3 linked regions of the Canis lupus familiaris genome follow. The protein of the gene in region 1 interacts with the protein of each later gene in a pairwise test. Links are inferred from orthologs where the notes say so. Each region holds a gene or a part of one and is shown on either strand. Other genes may lie near its edges. The genes, in order: NDUFAF3, NDUFAF4 and SNRPA.

Region 1 (3,463 bases):
CTGGGGTGGCCCTGTGGGACTCACCGCCATTGCCGCCCTGACTGAAGGCCCTGCGACCGCCCTCCCTTGTCAATGCTACTCCAAGTTCCAGAGATGATCACAACCCAGGCTCTCCGACATCTACGCCCACCACTTCCAGCCTGAGGGAGCCCCTGAGACGGGCGGAGACCAGGGCGACCCAAATAAAATAGGTCTGGGAGTCAGGAGCTGGCCCACCCCATCTAGGCCAGGACGCTGCTCTGGCAGGAGAGCAGGGAACGAAATCCAAGCGCAGCTGGAATGCTCTGGAGACAACAGCTGCTTTTGGGATTCCGTTGCCCGCTGTCCAGCCGTGGGCGGGGGGAGGGAGGGGGCGATAGGTATGCCCCAGCGGGGGTGGTGGTGGTCCCTTGCCCTGGGGCCAGATCAGGACCCCCGATTCCCAGTACCAGAAGACAGACCTAGGAGTGAGGGTAAAACCGAGTGTAGTGGGAACGAGGCGCTCACCTGGGCCCCCAAACACTAGGAAGATTGGTGGGAGCCTCCCCTGGGACCGGTCCCGATCCGGATTAGACCCGCAGGGTAGGATTACGCCTGCTGGTCCCATGAAGCCAGGCCACCGTGCAGTGACGGTGGCAGGGAGGGCTTCGGGATCGACCAAAAGAGAAACTTGCCTGTGGGGCCGGAGAGGAAGTAAACCCGCGCACCCGCCTCGGTGACACCCCGCACCCGGGGCCCTTTGTCCCGTGACTCTGCCAGCGCCCGGACCGCCAGGGGCCCAGTAGCGGCGACGCGACCCACGGGCTCCATTGCGACCGTCTTCCGCTTTGCCGAACCTCCCTCCGCCCACCCCCCAGCCCCGTGGGTAGCAGACGCGTCAACGTTCCCTTGAGGCCACGACACGGTGGGGGCGCGGAGATGCCTGAAACCCGCGCGGGCGCCAGCGACTCTCGCGCCAGTAGGCCCTCTGATTCGGCTCAAGACGGGGGGCGGGGAATTCTCGGCCGCGAGCAGAGTGAGCGACGACAGGGAGATGCTCCAGCCGCTGTCTAGTTCAGTATCTGGTCCTGTCGGCCCGGTCGATCCCACCCGAAAAGCCACAAACTCCCTACTACTGCGTTCCCTTCCGCTGGCCGCGGCCGCAGACTCGGAGCCATTTTAAGGCGAAACCAATCAGCCACGCCCCCTCGCGCTGCCGAGAAGCCAATCCACGCGCAGCCACGCCCCAGGAGACGCGCGGCGGCGACGCCAACGGTCGCGCGGGTGACGGTTAGGGAGGGGCGTGACTCGCTGGAGAGCGAGGGGAACCTGAGCCGGCCGCCCCGCCCTGGGAACCCGACGCCCCAAAGCCTGGGATTAGGGGATTGGAGGCTGGCCCCCACGCCCTGAGCAGGTGTGCGGGACTCGACCAGGTGCGCGGCCGCTCCGCCCCAGTCCCCAAGAGCCCTGCGTAATGGCTGAGAGCCGGGGACCAGGTTGTGGCGGGGGCCGAGGCTGCACTCTGAGGCCTGCCGCGCCACCAGGTGTCTGACTCCCCCAGGACGGTCTGCGGGGGCCCGGGGCGGGGCGGGCGGCAGGTGCAGACACCGGAGCCGCGCTGGGGGATGGGCCCTCCTGGGACAATTGGCATCAGTTGACTCCCTCAAAATCCTGCGCTGGAGCAGCCGACCTGCGCGGTGCCCTCCGGGACGCAGGGGGCGCTGTCGCCACGCCGCCGTGGGCTCCGCCACGACCCGATTGACCCAGCGCCGGCCTCCCTGCAAATTGGTCCGCCATGGTCGCCGCGTTCGTGCTTCGCGGCCTATGCCGAGCGCAAGCGGCGTTGCGCTGCGCCCCAGCCGAGCTGCTGTGGTGAGCGTCCCTGATTCTCCTGCCCTCACCCCTCGGCCGGCGATCGCGGCCCGGCCCCTCCTGGCCCCCTAGGCCCTGAGCATACCCCTCCGCAGGGTCCCACGGCGAGGGCATCGGCTCACGCCGGCGGACGACGAGCTGTATCAGCGGACGCGCATCTCCCTGCTGCAGCGCGAGTCCCCGCAGTCCATGTATATCGACAGCTACAGCAGCCGCGGCTTCATGGTCAATGGAAATCGCGTCCTTGGGCCCTGCGCGCTGCTCCCGCACTCGGTGGTGCAGTGGAACGTGAGCAGTGAGGAGGCGGAGGGCCAGGGTCCCAGGCCCGTCCCCCCGATTCTGTCCCCGGCACACTTGGCTTTTTCATTACCCCTTTGCGGCGCAGGTAAGGGCTCTGTGGGGAAAACTGCGCGAACTTGTGTTTAACCTGCCTCCTCCCAACACAGGTAGGAACTCACCGGGACATCATCGAAGAAAGCTTCTCGCTCTTCTGGTTGCTGGAGCCCCGAATAGGTACTGGTGAAGGGGAGGGCTGAGGTGCTTCCAGCCCTAGAAAGCCAAAAGCCACCCCGCCCCAGCTTCCCCACACACCTGCCATTGGCTAGTGGTGGTCGTCTTTTCCTAGAGATTGTTGTGGTGGGCACCGGAGACCGGACTGAACGGCTGCAGCCCCAGGTGCTGCAAGCCCTGAAGCAGCGGGGCATCGCGGTGGAAGTACAGGATACGGTAAGTCCTGCCACTGGGGAGTGCTGAGCAGGGCCCAGGCCTGGCCTTAGCCAAGCTGATGCAGGCTTTCTCTTTGCAGCCCAATGCCTGTGCCACTTTCAACTTCCTGTGTCATGAAGGCCGAGTAACAGGAGCTGCTCTTATTCCTCCACCTGGAGGGACTATGCTCACATCTTTGGCACAAGCTCCAGAGTGAACCAGCAAGAACTGACCTAACCTGTCCAGGAAGGCCCTGGCACTTTTTCCAGAGCGCAGGGGTTTGCAGCGCTCACTAGCCCTTCCCCCTTTGGCACTGTAACTCTTGTCTTTCTTGCCAGCAAATTAATAATTTAATCCACTTTTCCAATTTTGTATTAGATGTGTTGCTGGCCAGGAGGAGCCACAGGTTCAGTGGGCTCATGGTGGGAGTTGTGAAAAAATCAAGGGGGATCCCCTATTTATCTAGACTACTTAGCTTCTCAGAGGCAGGAGACAGTGTAGGCACCTGTTAAAACTGCAAATCTACCTAACTTGCTCACATGCAGGTTTGAGGGGCTCTCAGTGCTTTCTCCACAAGGTCCTTTGGAGATTCAAGTTAGAGACTACATATGTGGGCCTTAGCCTGGTCCCATGTGGCCTAGCAGGAAGCCCTATCAATGGGTGCCAGTCCAAAGCCCCCATGGACTATTCCATGACCTGTCCTAAGCAGCCACAATGTGAGACTGAACCGTTAGGAGCCAGAACTGGCCAGACCTACCTTGTGAGCTGCTCAGGAGGGACTTTCTGAATCTAGAACTAGTATCTCCTTCCAGATCCAAGGAATATCCTGGCTTCCGGGTCTGAAGACTTTCCCTACAAATGAGTGTTGTGTTTGTGTGCATCTGTGATATTGGCCACCACATCTGCCTGTAGATCTCAAAGATCAGGC
Region 2 (4,380 bases), on another chromosome or scaffold:
TCTTGACATCCATAGAAATCTGAGTATCTGGGCTACAGAGCACCGAGTTACAGGCCTGCTTAAGTCTCAAAGATGAAAATCTTGGAGCAGCCTGCCACCTTCAGGTAAGTTCCCAACTCTACCAGAGAGAACGCGTCAGCTTCTATCCATTCCAAAGGCCAATCCCAGCAAAAAAAAAGAAAAAAAAAAAGACACATTTCATGATAATCGATGGTGGAAGCTATGTTCTTTGCAGTACTTTCACTATGATTAAGTATCGTAGTTAATAATTACATTAATTTTCTTTAAATAAAATTGCCCCTTTCTTTGATTCTTTTTTTTTAAAAAGTACTTTTATTCAATTATCTTTAGATGGATTCTTTCCTTTTCACTGGTTTAAAACCATCCAGGGACGCCTGAGTGGCTCAGTGGTTGAGTATCTGCCTTTGGCTCAGGTAGTGACCCGTGGGTCGCGGGATCGAGTCCCGCATCGGGCTCGCTGCGAGGAGTCCGCTTCTCCCTCTGCCTGTGTCTCAGTCCGTGGCTCTCATAAGTATTTAAAAAATTAAAAAAAAAAAAATAAACCGCAGAGAGAGGACAACATGATTGAAACCGATTCCGTCAAGTCAAATTGCCTGAGCAGAGCGGGATGTGAAAGACCTCGAAAGAAAGAGAACAAGGTAGCTCAGAAGGGCATCAGGCGAGGACGCAGGAACACAAAGGGCATTTAAGTAAGCGTGAGAACAAATATTCGTGGGGCAAGAATACACTTTTGAGATTTTTAAATCATTTTTTAGATCTATTTTGCATTTTATTTATTTCTTTAATTAATTAATTAATTAATTAATTAATGATAGTCACACAGAGAGAAAGAGAGAGGCAGAGACACAGGCAGAGGGAGAAGCAGGCTCCATGCACCGGGGGCCCGATGTGGGGTTCGATCCCGGGTCTCCAGGATCGCGCCCTGGGCCAAAGGCAGGCGCCAAACCGCTGCGCCACCCAGGGATCCCTATTTTGCATTTTAAAGAGGTTTTTATATATTTATGCATGAGAGACACAGAGAGAGGGAGAGACAGAGACCCAGGCCGGGGGAGAAGCAGCCTCCTGCAGGGAGCCCGACGCGGGGCTCGAACCCGGGCCCGCAGGACCGCGCCGTGGGCCGCAGGCAGGTGCCGCCCGGGCTGGGAACCGGCGCTTTCCGCAGCCCCGTCTCCTGGGGCACTTGGCTTCACTTTGGCTCTTCTCCGGCCGCCCCGGCCCGTGGGCGGGTGGACCGCAAGGTCAAGTTCCCGGCCCGCAGTCTCGGCCCGCAGCGTCGGCCCCGCGGGGAGCGAGCGCGCGGCAGCCCCGGGCCGGCGCGCGGGGAGGCGGGACCTGGCTCTGCCCTGGGGCTTCCCGCCGGGGCGCCCGCTCCCTCCCGCACCGCCTGGGCGGAGGCGAGCCGCGCGCCCTCCCGACCGCTGGGGGGCGCGCGGGCGCGTTGGGCCGCCGCTCTTCCGGCGTGGCCGGGTCGGGCCCGCAGCGCGCATGCTCGGTGCGTCCGCGAGGTCGCCGGCGCGCGCTGGCCCACGTGCGGCGGCCCCGGAGGACGTCATGCGGTGAGGAGATGGGGGCCGCCGCGGCTCGCGCGCTCCGCAATTTCAACCTGGAGAACCGGGCGGAACGGGAAATCAGCAGGATGAAGCCGTCGCCCGCCCCCAGGCACCCGTCCACCAGGAGCTTCCTGCGGGAGCAGATGAGCCGTAAGCGGTGGCAGGGCGCGTCGGTCCGCCCGGGGCCGGCTGGGCGGGCTCCGCGCGGGGGTGACCCGGGGCGGCGGCGGGGACTCGGCAGCCCGGCGCGGAAAGGCGGGACCCCAGGCCCGTGCCATTGGGGAGGCCCGTTGCCCTTGCCGCGGAGCGACGGCTCCGCTCACGTCGCGGTTCTGCGGGTGCGGGTGCGGGTGCGGCCCCGGCACCCCTGCGTCTTCCCCGCCTGCCGACCTGCTGCGGGGAATCCGGAAGCGGAAGGGGTCTGGGGCCTTGGAGGTGCCCCCTTCGGGCGTTCGCGGAGCCGGGCGCGCCGAGCCTGACCTGGCGTTTTGATTTACGCGCCCAGCACCTGGCGTGTTGTCCCAGGGCCTCTGGATCAAGCGACAAACTAAAAGGGATCGTCTCCTGTTAGGCGTTGGGAGCTTGGAGGAAATTTTCTCTGGTTTTAATACTGGGACCTTCTTCTTCTGCCCTTAGAGCATCCGGAAATCAAGGAGGAAATCGACAGGAAAGATGACAAACTGCTGTCGTTACTAAGAGATGTGTATGTTGATTCCAGAGATCCTGTATCTTCTCTGCAGGTAACGTGTGTTTTAATTCAGCAGGTAAGGGGCAGCCCGGGTGGCTCAGCGGTTTAGCGCCTGCCTTCGGCTCAGGGTCTGATCCTGGAGCCCTGGGATCGAGTCCCACGTCGGGCTCCCGGTGCATGGAGCCTGCTTCTCCCTCTGCCTCTGTCTCTGCCTCTCCTTCTCTCTCCTTGTGTGTCTCTCATGCATAGATAAATAAAATCTTTAAAAAATAATAATTATAATTCAGCAGGTTAAGTAATTTAACCCCTTGTGCCCCAGGAAAACGACCAGGAGACCTGTGGTAGGTAGTAAAAGAGACTGAATGCTCTGCACGTGTAAAACTGTCAGTGTAGTTGTGACCAGAGTACAGTGTGTTGGGGAAACTTAAGTGTAGGGGTGATATTATTTCACAGTTTATAGGATTTGGTACAGTACTTTTGGTGGTTGTCATTTGAATCACCGAAGAAGAGCTTTAATAACTATTTTCTCAGCCTTCAGTGGATTGAATTTTGTTGCGATCTGCGGGATTCCTTTAGTGTTGTGTTGTCGGTGTTTTTCTTTTCTTTTTTTTTAAAGGTATTCAGATAGGAAATGTGAAAATTGGGCGCCTACAGAACACATTGGGAATAGGAACCTATATATAAATCCATATATAAATGCCAGGCACAAGTGCTTTGTGTATAGTTGTGAGCAAAGCAGACCTAGTCCTTGCTCTTGGTGCTCAGAATATTGTGAGGGACGCAGACAAACAAATGAGCAACCATAAGTACGTAGTTACTAATAGGTCTGTGAAGGAAAAGTAGAGGCACTGTAAGTGTATCAGAGGGACCTGTTTGTGTTTGGTTTGGGTGATTTGAGAAAGTGACATTCAAGCTCCTGCCGGAAAGATGAGTCTGAGTTAACTAGATGAGTTGGTTGGGGCAGGAAGGTCCTAAGTTGGGGGGAGAGTATGATTAAAGGGGAGAGAAGTGCCATTGACAATTCCCAGATTTCTTTCCATTCTAAAATTCTCTGATACCCTCTCTGTCTAGACAGGCAATACTGTTTGCACAGATACACTTATTAATATAATTTTCATTAGATAAGTGAAATAAAATTCATGTAAAATAAGGTCTGTGAATTGTTACATGTAATACCAATTATAGGGCTCATTTATCACCAGATGTTCCCATAAAAAAAGATAGAAGGGTTGATGTTCATGTTCTTTGTGTTGAGTACTTCCATCAATAACAGGTGTTGAGTAATACTTCCAACTGTTGTTTATCTCATGCTGTATTAAATCATGCATTCAAAAATTGGCCCTTGGGGAGTGAAAAAAACTTAGCAGTTTTTATGAATACAGTTACATAGATACAATACATAAAGAGATACACAATGGTATTATAATTTTAGGTGGGAGGGCAGCCCGGATGGCTCAGTGGTTTAGTGCCACCTTCAGCCCAGGGCCTGATTCTGGACCCGGGATCGAGTCCCACATCAGGCTCCTTGCATGGGGCCTGCTTATGTCTCTGCCTCTCTCTCTCTGTCTCTTTCTCTCTCATGAATAAATAAAACCTTAAAAAAATTTTTTTATGGGGGTATTAGGATATTAGGAAAAGACTAAAAAGACTTGGGGGGAATGGCAGTGAAAAAATTGCTGAAGTGTACCTATTTATGTTTTGTCCATTTTTCTCTTTTGGGTAGTTCCTAGTTTTCTTAATGATTTGTGAAGTCTTGAGACATTACTGATATCGTATGTCAAATAATTTATTTTTGTGTGGCTTTTTTAACTTAACTGCTGTTGAGAATTCTGTCAAACATGTTAACCTTTTTGCTCTTCGTCGTATTGGAAGTCTGGACTCTAATAAAAACAGTATTCTGTATTTCTTTGTTGTACTTTTACAACTGTGTGTTTTATATTAAAATCTTTATTTGGCAATAAGTGTAGTGTTTGGTGTGTGGAGATCTTTTTTTTTAAGATTTTATTTATTTATTCAGATTTTATTTATTATTTATTCAGACTTTATTTTATTTATTTATTAAATTATTAAATTATTTATTTTATTTATTTATTCAGAGAGAGAGAGAGAGACATGCAGAAG
Region 3 (3,644 bases), on another chromosome or scaffold:
ACTCCCCAAATCACTGCTCAGACCATTTCAGACACTCAAGCATGAGTGAGTTCTATCAGGGACAGTGGGGACCCTGCCTTGGAGACATCCACCACTGCCTGTTTCCCCCTCCTCCCCTGTGGCTTCCCGGTCTCTGCTTGGACCCCTGCTCCCCGTGGGCTATTCTCCACACACAGCCCCAGGGCTGCTTCTGGCACACCAGTGAAATCTCACTCTGCGTAAGATACTCCATGGCTCCCAGCTATCTCAGGAAAAAAACCCAAGTTGGACCACCCTTCCCTCTGTGATCTTGTCTCCTCCCTCCTCATCCCCATTGATCTTGAACACACACTGCACACCTTAGTTCTACTGTTCCCTTTACTGAAATGCTTTTCTCTTAACAGGCCTTCCTCCCTCTGTCTCTATGCCAGTGTCACTTCACTGAGGCCTGCCTTAGCCACACTCTGAAACTTTCAATTCTGGGGTTATGTTTTATTTTTTTTTATTTTAAGATTTTATTTATTTGAGAGAGTGAGCAAGCGAGAGAACATGAGCAGGGGGAGGAGCAGAGAGAGGGAGAAGCCATCTCCCCATTGAGCAGGGAGCCCAATGCAGGACTCGATCCTGGGACTCTGAGATCATGAGCTGAGCCGAAGGCAGACACTGAGCCACCCAGGCGCCTCTGAAATTTTCCATCCCCTTTTCCAGTTTTGTTTTTAATCTTTTTCATCATATCTTTCTCACCAAGGAGATCATGAGGGCAGGGACCTTTGATACACTCGTTGCTGTACCCCAGAGTATAGGTTCTCCGTAGACCACTGAGAATCAGCTTTCGCCTGGGAATCTAAACTCCTGTGTGACTAGAACCCCCCTGCATAGTGTTCCTCTCCTAGCCTTGTTTCTTCAGGCATCTGCCTTTGGCCTGATGCTCGGGACTGTCCCATCTTCCCTTCAAAATCCCAACAACTTACTGACTGAATGCCTAGTTTGTGCCAGCTACTGTTCAGAGCACTTAAGCTTATTTAGTTCTTACAGTCCTCCTTTCCAGTGGAAAATCTCAGTTACCATTTTACAGATGAGGATATTGAGGCCAAGTGATTTCCATAACATTGCTCACTGAGCTTCTGGTAAGATCTGCTTTTGTACCCAGGCGATTGGGCCTTGATACACTCCTTAACCTTCTGCTCTTTGTTTGGCAGCGCATTCAGTATGCCAAGACTGACTCGGATATTATTGCCAAGATGAAGGGTACCTTCGTGGAGCGGGACCGCAAGCGGGAGAAGAGGAAGCCCAAAAGCCAGGAGACCCCAGCAGCCAAGAAGGCTGTGCAGGGTGGGGCCGCCGCCCCTGTGGTGGGGGCTGTCCAGGGCCCTGTCCCGGTAAGCCAGGGCTGAGAGACCCTGCCCTCTCTCCCATCAGGCCTTCCTTAGCTGTGTGGCCTGGCGTGTGGGCATGGTGGAGGGTGGAGGTGGTCTCCCCAGGGGTTTGGGCACTCTCCCCTTCCATTTTCTGATGGAAATTGTGCACCTCACTGTGAGGGATTATGCACCTGCGTGATGGAGTCTACATTTGGAAATGGCTTTGTGGTTGCCTGTTTTTCAGATCTTTCTTTCTGTCTCTCTGTTCCTTAGTTTTTTTCTTCCCTTGACTTTGATCCTGTTGTCTATGTTTTTTAAGTTAATGTCTATGCGGAAAACCCAGAAGAAGCCATGAACCAACTTTTTGGGATTAATTAGTGAATTTAATTTAGCAGGGTCATCAGAGAGAAGGTCAGTGTGGAAGAAGTCAGTTTTATTTCTGTGTGCTAGCAGCAAACAGTAGCCTCCAAATTTAAAAATGGCTCAGGAGTAAATCCCATGAAGGGTAAGCAAAATATACTCACTGAAAGTACAGAGCATCTCTGAGAGAAATGGGAGGTGAATTCAGCAAATGGATGGGAGACTCAAAACTTATTAGGAGGGGAAAAATTAAAGAGGAAGACAAACCATGAGAGACTCCTAGCTTTGGAAAATAAAGGGTTCCAGGAGAGGAGGTGGAGGGGGATGGGGTAGCTGGGTGATGAGCTTTAAGGAAGGCACATGATAAGATGAGCACTGGGTGTTATACTATATATTGGCAAATTGGATTTAAATTTTATTTATTTATTCATGAGAGACAGGCAGAGGGAGAGCTGCAGGACTCCATCCCCAGATCCTGGGATCACGACCTGAGCCAAAGGCAGATGCTCAACCGCTGAGCCACCCAGGTGTCCCTGAATTTAAATTTTTAAGAAATACTTACTTACTTACTTATTTATTTATTTATTTATTCATGATAAACACAGAGAGAGAGGCAGAGGGAGAAGTAGGCTCCATGCAGGGAGCACGATGTGTGGGACTTGATCCTGGGACTCCAGGATCACGCCCTGGGCCTCAGGCAGGCGCCCAACCACCCAGGGATCCCCCCTGAATTTAAATTTTAAAACAAACTTGTTAGGATGTCAGTCCTCCAAACTGGCCTAACCCTCAGCACAATTCCAATCAAAATGCCGACAGGAATTCTGGGCATGCTGGCAGTCTTTCCACAGGTATGTGGAAAGGCAAGGAGAATGAAGCAGGGAGGCTGCTGTAGTCATCAAGATGGTGAGATGTTGGCCTGAGGGGAAGAAGAGGGACCAGGTGGCAGAAGAGAGTCCAGAAGTCAGTCCGGTCCACACAGGCATGTTTGTCAGCCAGTGAAGGCACCATTGCGTTCCCGTGGTGAAAGGACTTTATCTTGCTAATAAATGGTGCTGGACGAATCAGATGTCTTTAAGGCAAAGTGTTAGTCCTACCTCAACCATAGAAGTTAGTTTGAGATGAATAGTAGACCTCAGTGTGGCCGTTGAAACAATAAAGATTCTAGAAGGAAACAGGAAAATCTCTTCAGGAACTTTGTGAGGTGGGATCCCTGGGTGGCGCAGCGGTTTAGCGCCTGCCTTTGGCCCAGGGCGCGATCCTGGAGACCCGGGATCGAATCCCATGTCGGGCTCCCGGTGCATGGAGCCTGCTTCTCCCTCTGCCTGTGTCTCTGCCTCTCTCTCTCTCTGTGTGACTATCATAAATAAATAAAATTAAAAAAAAAAATTAAAAAAAAAAAAAAAAGGAACTTTGTGAAGGCATGAGAAGTAGAAACATCCTGTTTTGTAAAACAGAATCGAGAAAGCACGAAGTACTTAAGATAGATGAATTGCCTCTACTCATTTCTGAGTCCCCACAGTGGCTCTGCTGACCGGATTACACCGTACTTGTCCTTTCACTGATACCAGTTCTCACTCTTTGGTGTCAGCAGTGATGTCGGGGTTTCCCTCTGTCTAGTTTCCCTCTTCTTCCCCACTCTCCTCCGCTGCACCCAGCTATATGTGCACCTTTGAGTCCTTAGCGGTGGCTCCAGCTCCAATGGCCCTGTCTCCCTTGGGTGCATGACCTTGTGCCCTTTGGCTGGCTCCCACCTCCCTGCCACCCCTCCATTGCTTTCTCCATCTGTCCTGACTGTCCCTGTCCATCTCTGCCTTCCACTGTCTGCTCCTTTTTTCTCTGTAGGTCTCTTCCCACCCCCACCCCCACCCCCAAGTGTATTTTTGGAAGTAAAACTCCAGCATACTCATTATAGTGTTTATTTTCGCTCTTTTTGTTGACTGTTGTTAG

Evidence for each region.
Region 2: the proteins of NDUFAF3 (region 1) and NDUFAF4 interact in binary tests that used the Homo sapiens proteins (3 or more experiments, as listed by UniProt). The two-hybrid records come from large-scale screens. The link is inferred for Canis lupus familiaris from reciprocal best matches to the Homo sapiens genes NDUFAF3 and NDUFAF4.
Region 3: the proteins of NDUFAF3 (region 1) and SNRPA interact in binary tests that used the Homo sapiens proteins (3 or more experiments, as listed by UniProt). The two-hybrid records come from large-scale screens. The link is inferred for Canis lupus familiaris from reciprocal best matches to the Homo sapiens genes NDUFAF3 and SNRPA.

The regions. Positions count from the first base shown.
Region 1 is NC_049241.1:40,548,058-40,551,520, reverse strand, and holds NDUFAF3 (NADH dehydrogenase [ubiquinone] 1 alpha subcomplex assembly factor 3), read left to right. Parts: upstream 1-1,247; 5' UTR 1,248-1,753; coding exon 1,754-1,830; intron 1,831-1,925; coding exon 1,926-2,118; intron 2,119-2,276; coding exon 2,277-2,343; intron 2,344-2,455; coding exon 2,456-2,556; intron 2,557-2,635; coding exon 2,636-2,752; 3' UTR 2,753-2,902; downstream 2,903-3,463. UniProt on the Homo sapiens protein: Essential factor for the assembly of mitochondrial NADH:ubiquinone oxidoreductase complex (complex I).
Region 2 is NC_049233.1:55,577,902-55,582,281, reverse strand, and holds the start of NDUFAF4 (NADH dehydrogenase [ubiquinone] 1 alpha subcomplex assembly factor 4), read left to right. Parts: upstream 1-1,508; 5' UTR 1,509-1,585; coding exon 1,586-1,721; intron 1,722-2,207; coding exon 2,208-2,335; intron 2,336-4,380. UniProt on the Homo sapiens protein: Involved in the assembly of mitochondrial NADH:ubiquinone oxidoreductase complex (complex I). May be involved in cell proliferation and survival of hormone-dependent tumor cells. May be a regulator of breast tumor cell invasion.
Region 3 is NC_049222.1:113,804,973-113,808,616, reverse strand, and holds part of SNRPA (U1 small nuclear ribonucleoprotein A), read left to right. Parts: intron 1-1,178; coding exon 1,179-1,358; intron 1,359-3,644. UniProt on the Homo sapiens protein: Component of the spliceosomal U1 snRNP, which is essential for recognition of the pre-mRNA 5' splice-site and the subsequent assembly of the spliceosome. U1 snRNP is the first snRNP to interact with pre-mRNA.